2 linked regions of the Daphnia pulex genome follow. The protein of the gene in region 1 purifies or fractionates together with the protein of each later gene. This does not show direct contact. Links are inferred from orthologs where the notes say so. Each region holds a gene or a part of one and is shown on either strand. Other genes may lie near its edges.

What was found.
Region 2: the proteins of molybdopterin synthase catalytic subunit-like (region 1) and SAGA-associated factor 29-like purify together in Drosophila melanogaster (affinity purification with mass spectrometry; 5 studies listed by BioGRID, with this or other methods). This does not show direct contact. The link is inferred for Daphnia pulex from reciprocal best matches to the Drosophila melanogaster genes Mocs2B and Sgf29.

What each region holds. Positions count from the first base shown.
Region 1 is NC_060026.1:10,881,525-10,885,454, forward strand, and holds the start of molybdopterin synthase catalytic subunit-like, read right to left. Parts: upstream 2,838-3,930; 5' UTR 2,112-2,837; coding exon 1,983-2,111; intron 1,920-1,982; coding exon 1,807-1,919; intron 1,707-1,806; coding exon 1,519-1,706; intron 697-1,518; coding exon 602-696; intron 531-601; coding exon 365-530; intron 308-364; coding exon 1-307. Other genes in the region: pecanex-like protein 1, read right to left, coding at 3,825-3,930. UniProt on the Drosophila melanogaster protein: Catalytic subunit of the molybdopterin synthase complex, a complex that catalyzes the conversion of precursor Z into molybdopterin.
Region 2 is NC_060019.1:9,072,277-9,075,874, reverse strand, and holds SAGA-associated factor 29-like, read right to left. Parts: upstream 2,053-3,598; 5' UTR 1,933-2,052; intron 1,874-1,932; 5' UTR 1,776-1,873; coding exon 1,737-1,775; intron 1,675-1,736; coding exon 1,540-1,674; intron 1,480-1,539; coding exon 1,357-1,479; intron 1,294-1,356; coding exon 1,135-1,293; intron 1,069-1,134; coding exon 840-1,068; intron 759-839; coding exon 580-758; 3' UTR 552-579; downstream 1-551. Other genes in the region: uncharacterized protein LOC124191408, read left to right, coding at 182-280, 338-478. UniProt on the Drosophila melanogaster protein: Component of both the SAGA and CHAT histone acetyltransferase complexes, which both predominantly acetylate histone H3.

The sequences.
Region 1 (3,930 bases):
TCATCCATTTTTTGTTCAATTTTTGATATCAAATCTTCATCTTCTTTATTATTCTGAAGATTAAACGGTCCGTCGAAATATTCAGGACTAATGCTTTCCAAATGAAGGATTCTATCTTCAAGGGCTTTCAAGCGTCCGTACACATCCAGTGGAATAGGTTGTTCTCTTGAATTAAAACCCAAGTGTTTTTCCATATTTTGTAGCCGTTCTTGGATAGCAGGAGTCGGATTCAATTTGGTGTTTACTGAAGATGGAGCCGGAACTTCAGAGTGTGTTTGTGGTCCCCACATATTTACGCATCTCGACACTAAAACGTAAAGAAATCAGTAATCAGCGTTGAATCCTTAAAATAAAATAATTTTACCCTTTAGATGACTTTTACTATCTTTTCTGCTTACAAGCACTGCCTCTGTGCGAGCACATGAATTCTCTAATTCGTTTAATGGTAGTCTGTGACAGAACTCCTGAACGTTGAATACGTCCGACTCTGATCGTTTCCGTTCCATAAACGCAGTAATTCGTTTTCCCAACTGAAAAATTAAAAACATTTAAAATATTTATTGAGAAAAGACTTGATAAAAGTAAAACGGATCAACAATACCTCTAAATTTGAAGCCTTGATCTGAACGCAATCGGCAGCTGCATAGTCCACCATTATTTTCCTCTTTTTAGATAGACTAGCGTCTTCTTCTTGATCTATATCAATTCAAAACATGCTATTGACTATTAAGCATCTATCACATCAAGCAAATATTCCAACAACTCATTCTCATGGAAATAAAAAATTTCAAATCCCGAATTTCCCCACCTAACAAGATTAGAATATTTTCGTACTTATTTTTTTTAATTTTGACTAATAAAAACTTCTGAACGCTTGTGCTTTCTTTAAGCCATACTTCTATAAGCCAAATAATCAAATGACGTACGCGGCAGTGAAGGGAACAAATGCAGAAGTCACAACTAAATACTAAATAAAGGACGTCTATGTGTGGTTGTCCCTATTCCGTCAGATAATTAGCTTAAAGCTTATAGGCAGCAAAGCTGTCGAACCACACGAAAACGTCTAATAGATTGAAGCAGTGCGTAGAATGCAGCATTGCAGCTACTCATCTTTAGAATCACACAGTATATGTTATTATATAATGAAAGGGCAAAGATTGGAAAGCGTTGGGAACTGGAAAGTACTTGGATAATAAGTAAAATGAATGTTAACATTGCTTAGTTAAAAAATAAAAAGAGAATTAAAAACCCTTAAAAACCTTATATTTTAAATGTCAGACTTGACAGCACTACGTAGATATTATCACTTTAGTAAGATTGAAACTACAGCCAAACTAACGTTCATGCTCCGATTTTTAACTAATGAAAAGTACTGGAAACCATTTCAAATATTGTTCTGATATCGGAAAATCGATTAAGGTTCAATATTTGTGTTACTTGTTAAGAATCAGTACTGTTATGAATTCAAAATTCATACAACAAATAGGAACAACTAAGCATTATTTGTTTAATTTTTACTTGTCCACAGGCATTCTTTGTTGGCTTTCCATTCAGGAGCACCATCACTATAAAGTTCTTTCTTCCAAATTGGTACAGACTTCTTAAGCGCGTCAATCCCAAATTGAACAGCCTCTAAAGATTCGGCTCGATGCTCGGATGAAACAGCTATTACAACACTTGCTTCACCAACCGGAACTTCTCCCAATCTGGAAAGAAAAATAGGTAATTAAAACAAACAAACAAACAAAAAAATGTTTCTTAAGTTTCCTCATTATAACTACAGTATGGTAAAAAAAAAAATTATACCTATGGTGGAATGCAATGTGTTTAACCTTCCATTTTTCTCTAATATTCTCACAAATTTTCTTGATTTCTTTACATGCCATTGGCTTGAAAGCTTCATACTCTAGACTAATCACCTTAAATATAAAGCAAATTTGATTTAGAAATATTTGACTTTAGATTATTCAAATTGACATTACTTTCTTTCCTTCAAAATTATTCCTTGTTGTTCCCACAAATAATGACACAGCTCCAGTAGAATGTTCAACCACTTTAGAGTAGATTGAATTCACATCAAGCTGTTCTTCAACTAAGTTAATAATATCCATTTTAAAATACAATTGAAGGGCTCTGGCGAATTAAGCTGTAGCACACTGCTTATGAAGAATCCTAGCGACCTAGCCACCACTTAATGGTGGGATCACTGCAATTTCCTTGCAATTTTTAATGTCTATAAGCTGATCAAATTCAACATATTCTTCATCAGCAGCTAGGACAATGTTCTTTGATATGGATTCTAGAGCTGGAAATTGTTCTGTAATGATGCACAAAAGATTTGCCCCAGTGATTCTTGAAGTTGTTCTGGAAAGTGAAATATTGTCAAAATCTTTTCCAACTAACTCTCTGGCCTTTGCAAAGAACAGAATCCGAATAACTACTTCATCCATTGATCAAGGTCAAGACTACAGCATCCCTGACTATAATTTTAACCAGATTTGTTGACATGTAACAATCAATAAAAAAATATATGTTAATTAGTTGTCACCGCAAAAGTAAATTTAACTTTGAGTAGTAATCTTGATTAGCAATACGCTCTTCTTATGCGTTGACTATGTGTCTGTAAAACTGTGACAGAGGCTCGGCAATCAGAAAAGCGTCTGGTCACTGGTCGTCTGCTGGCACTGGCAAGTGGGAAGTGGCAATGACATAAAGAGACTAAAGCGTATTTTTTAAAAATTCAAAAATTGTAATATGCGCGGAGTTTTTCTTGCGCGCAAAATATATACATTAATTTTATGCCCCCTTATCTGCAAGAAGCCAACAACGATGCAAATATTCTATGCAACTTTATGTGTATTGTGTATAGATGTTATACCCTTGAAAAAGTAGTGGTCTAGCAAAAAATCGTGCGCAGTTTACGCCGATGCGCACCACAGCGGCAGATAGCAGAACTAAACTTTTTATTACGCTTGACTACCTGTCTACTTCAAGAAACGAGACGAGAACCGACTGCTTGTCGAACAAAGGACTTGAAGTAGACAGGTAGTCAAGCGTAAAAAAAAGTTTAGTTCTGCTATCTGCCGCTGTGGTGCGCATCGGCGTAAACTGCGCACGATTTTTTTCTAGACTACTACTTTTTCAAGGGTATAACATCTATATCGTATCAGAGCGATCGTATTCGTTCACCGATTCTTTCATAATCAACAATTTCATAATATTCAAATTTCAAACTATGTGCATACCGGCATACTATTGTCAGGGGTATGGAGAGATTTATGGAGATATCTTTCTCTCCATACCCCTGCTATTGTTATTTAAAAATCCGACAAGTTTTTCTATCAGACACCAAATAAAATGACAGGCGCATTCTTATGCTACTGGAGTCACTCCTCTATGCGACTGTTAAGTGTTTACTTTCTCACCATCACTCCTTGTGTCACTACTAACACGGGAATTTTCGTGATTTTAATAATTAACAGTAACTATGAGGCGGGTGCGGTAGTTGAATAAGGAAAAATCTAAATATATAGTTCCTAGACTACAAACAATCCAAAAGTTTATTTGTTTCGAATTACTCAATTTCAAATTTCATTCGACATTTGAAAAACTCGGTAAACGTTATTGACAATGTTTTCAAATCACAGTGGTTTTTCCTAGTCAATGTCAAATAACACATAGCATTTCCGCATAACACAAACATTATTTACAAAACAAGGTTCGTGAACAAATTTCGGGGTTCACATTCAAACCAAAATACCGTTTCATATTACAACGATGAGCCTAATGGACTCGAAAAAAAAACACTGCGGCGTTTGGGAATTTCAATCAGCAACTCCCTGGGTTTTAAGCTTAGTATCATTAACGACGATAGAATCCCCGATGTTGACACTAACCAATGATGCAATTTCGACCGCCGATTCGGCGATT
Region 2 (3,598 bases), on another chromosome or scaffold:
ATAAGTATTAACAGAACTTAAAACTTTTGTTATGGGTAACATTTCCCCGATTTAGTTCGAGCAGATGTAATGTGAACTAAAACACTTTACTTTTAAAAATTAATTAACTGTCCATTTTGTGGTTGTGAGACTACTACATAATTCATAAAATCTGTGTTCTAATTCTTTTTCTTATTCATAGGGCGACAAAACTCAGATTACTCGCTATTGGGTTGGTAAATATCTTCTTGCTGGATGGCTGGTTTTGGGAATTACCTACAATCTGAAGTACAACTCTCATGTAAGTATTTGCCTCTAATAGTGGACAGCACCCAAAATACTACATTTTAACTTTTAGGACTGGACTCGCAAGAAAGGATTTGCAATTTTCGGCTCCAGACCCGCAGTTTACCCAGGAGATCCGAACTTCCCTAAAGTTTCCGATAAAATGAAGCCTTCTGACTACGCCGACTACGGATTCAAAAACTCCCCCATTTAGATTCTATTTCATGTTTCATACGTGGTTGGAAGAAGTAGTGAAAAACACAAATCCTGCTGTACAGAAGAGAGAATAGAAAAAAGGGTCAAATGTATTTGAAATCATTTCTTTTTCTCTTTGATAGCTATGACATATCGTTGCGCCACCATCAAAGGCGGACTGAATCCTTCAGTATAGCTAGAATCTTCAAAAAGAACTTGGTATTCATCTTGAGCTGTTTGGGGTAATTGATTGATTACCGCTTTGTAAAAACAGGTCGTTTGTGGATACAAAGCCATGACTAAAAACAAATGTTTAGTATGTTAATAATATGCTAACGTCGGATCAGCTAAAATTTGCGATTTTTTTGTTTTGTTTTTACCAGTGGCTCCTTTTGAGAACAAAGCATCGGGATCGGTTTCAGGATTAGCTCGCATCAAAGGAAGAGGAATTACTCTGCGTTTGCTTAAAGTGTGTCGCTCTTTCTGTTCCTCGTCAATATCATCCACTTCATAGCGCCCAGAAGAAGCTAAATATTGAACGACTTCTGCCAAAATCCAATTCTCATCGCCGTCTGTACTCTTTACCAAAGCCGCAACAATATCTCCCAGCTGACATACATATAAGGTGTTTCGGTTAGTCAATTAACAGTTTATGACATTCGAATAATGTAATACTTTGGCAACGTAAGTTGGGTCAGCTGGAACTGCTCCACATAATGCTGGTGGCTGTTGTCCTGACTTACTGATCCACAGCGGGAGAGTTTGAGCAGTAACGAGAAGCATTTTCATGAGAGCACCTCTTCTTATAGTTTCCTTACTGCCAGCTTGTTTTGCCTGAACAAGAATGTTAGTACAATGTTAGGTGAAATTTTCTAAGTTTACGTTCTTGGGAATAACCTGAATTCTCCTTTCATGTCTGATAACGCGAATTTCATAGATTTTGCTTAATGCCTTACGAATAAGGTCCTCTTCTTTTTCAGCATCAGCCACCACAGAGCAATACAGTCCTTTTAATTTAGACTGATAATTTTATAGGCATTCATTAGTGCTGATTAATTAGTGATATGGGAATAGAAATACCTTGTGATATGGAGAAATTTTGTCATCTGACTGAAGTTTTTCATGAGCTTTGATAACAGCATTTAAGTTACCTTCATTACGAACTTTCTCTTCTTGAATCTGCTTGACCAACTTGTAGATCCCCTTCAATCGTTCCTGCACCCCAATCCAAATTAGAACTAAGTAAATACCTTAACAACTGATTATATCAACCTTACTTGGACTTGCTGTGTGGCAGAATCTAATGACAAAGCCATGATGTATATGTTTAATAACAACTACCTCTCCTAAATGATGAGCTCAAACCAGCAATGATGACTGGAATCCAAGCAAAAGCCACCAAGAAAACCAAGAACTAAAGAAAATTAAATTCTGAAATTTACATATCTTTTATGCACAGAAAAATAACCTTACTAAATTAATGAAGATGAGTTTAAAAACAGTCATCGGAAATCAGCCTTCCAAACAATAAATTGAAAATCGTAACATCGGCAGTTGCTTTGTCGTCACCATGGCAACTATGGCATCAACTGTATTAGTTCCATTCGTCATTAGCAGATGGCATGAGCATGCTCAAATTGTATAACCATGGCAATAATTTCTAAATCAGGCCTTTTTTTCGAGTGGTTTTATTATATAGCCTTTGATCATTTTCAACTCTCAAATTATTTAGTTATTTTGTAGTCAGTTATTTTAATATTTTGCACATCCCTGTAAAAATGTATCGGCATTGTGTGGTAACTTTTTGGTGATGACTGACGATAACTATTCCACCAAGAAAGCTCACCTGTTAATTTTTCGATAATTTTTTTTATCTACTAAATGTATTTCACGGAGATGACGAATATTTCGTTTATTTTCCGTCCCATTCTAGTCGTCCGTGGATGCTCAGGGCTGTCACTAGGTGGCTAAATATTTCAGCGTGTTTAGGGATTGAACTATTCAGCTCTAGTGTGTTTGTTTCTAGAGGGGTGTAGGGGGATGGGTCATCAAACTGTCAAAGTCCTGAGACGACTGACAGAACAGTCTTTCTTTTGCTGTCGAGACGCTGTCCGAGAAGGTAAAATTTAGTCATTGCTGGTACTTTCTTACGTGACATTGTTGATCATAGACATGGTAATTCCATTTTTTATTCTTTAATTTTATAAAATTTAATTTTGTGTGTGGTTCAAAACGTGTAACATTGTCTTCAATTCATAATTGGTAATCGCATGTGGCCTGCTGTACATTCCCACAATGTCGTCTCTTGCTGAATGTTGCACGTTTCGTTCCATGCAGAACAGTAAAAAGTAATTATTGCTTAACTTTTTAATTCAAGACTTTGTTTCTGAATTAAAATTGTGTGACTTTGTTTCAAAAAGTAATTTAAATTTTTCTATTAACTGTTGAGCAGTAAAGCCTGAGCTTCATTACGTTTTGTTTTGCAAATTGTTTCAATTTCCAGTTGAATTATGCCAAGAGCTTTCACAGACATGCACTTAACTTGTTAGAACACTCGAGTGGGTTAGAATTTGCCTATATTTTAGTCTACTTTAAAAGTGTGTGCTACACATGTGATTTTTGTCAGGAATCAGGTCAGACATTGAATTCTCGATTTAGATGACATTTTACAACAACTATATGTTTCTAATTAAGAGCTTTTGTGAAAAGATTTGCTCAATAGAATTGTATTTTTTAAATATAAAACAGAAATTAACCCTTTCTTGTATTTGAAAATGTAATTGGTTCATTGTTTTCCTTTGAACTTGATTTACAGGATTTCTTGGTTAGTTTGATGTTGGAGCTGCCAATGGTGTTGATGCAGCGTTCATGGTGTGAGCAGTGGTTTTGCAGTCATTTTCCAGTCGAGATGTCTTGAGGGCGCGTTTTCGCAATGGAGCTTGTCAAAATGGAATTTTCGCAAATGGAGCTTGTGCAGACATTCACTTCAACATCATATTTCAATGTGATATTTACGTAATGTTGATGTTCTTGCAGTGTTGAATGGTTGTGCAAAATAGTTGATGTTGCCTGGTGGCTGTCGGACATGTTTTATCGGCTGCCTTTTGTCGATGTGTCGTGTCGTCTCTTGCCACCTGTA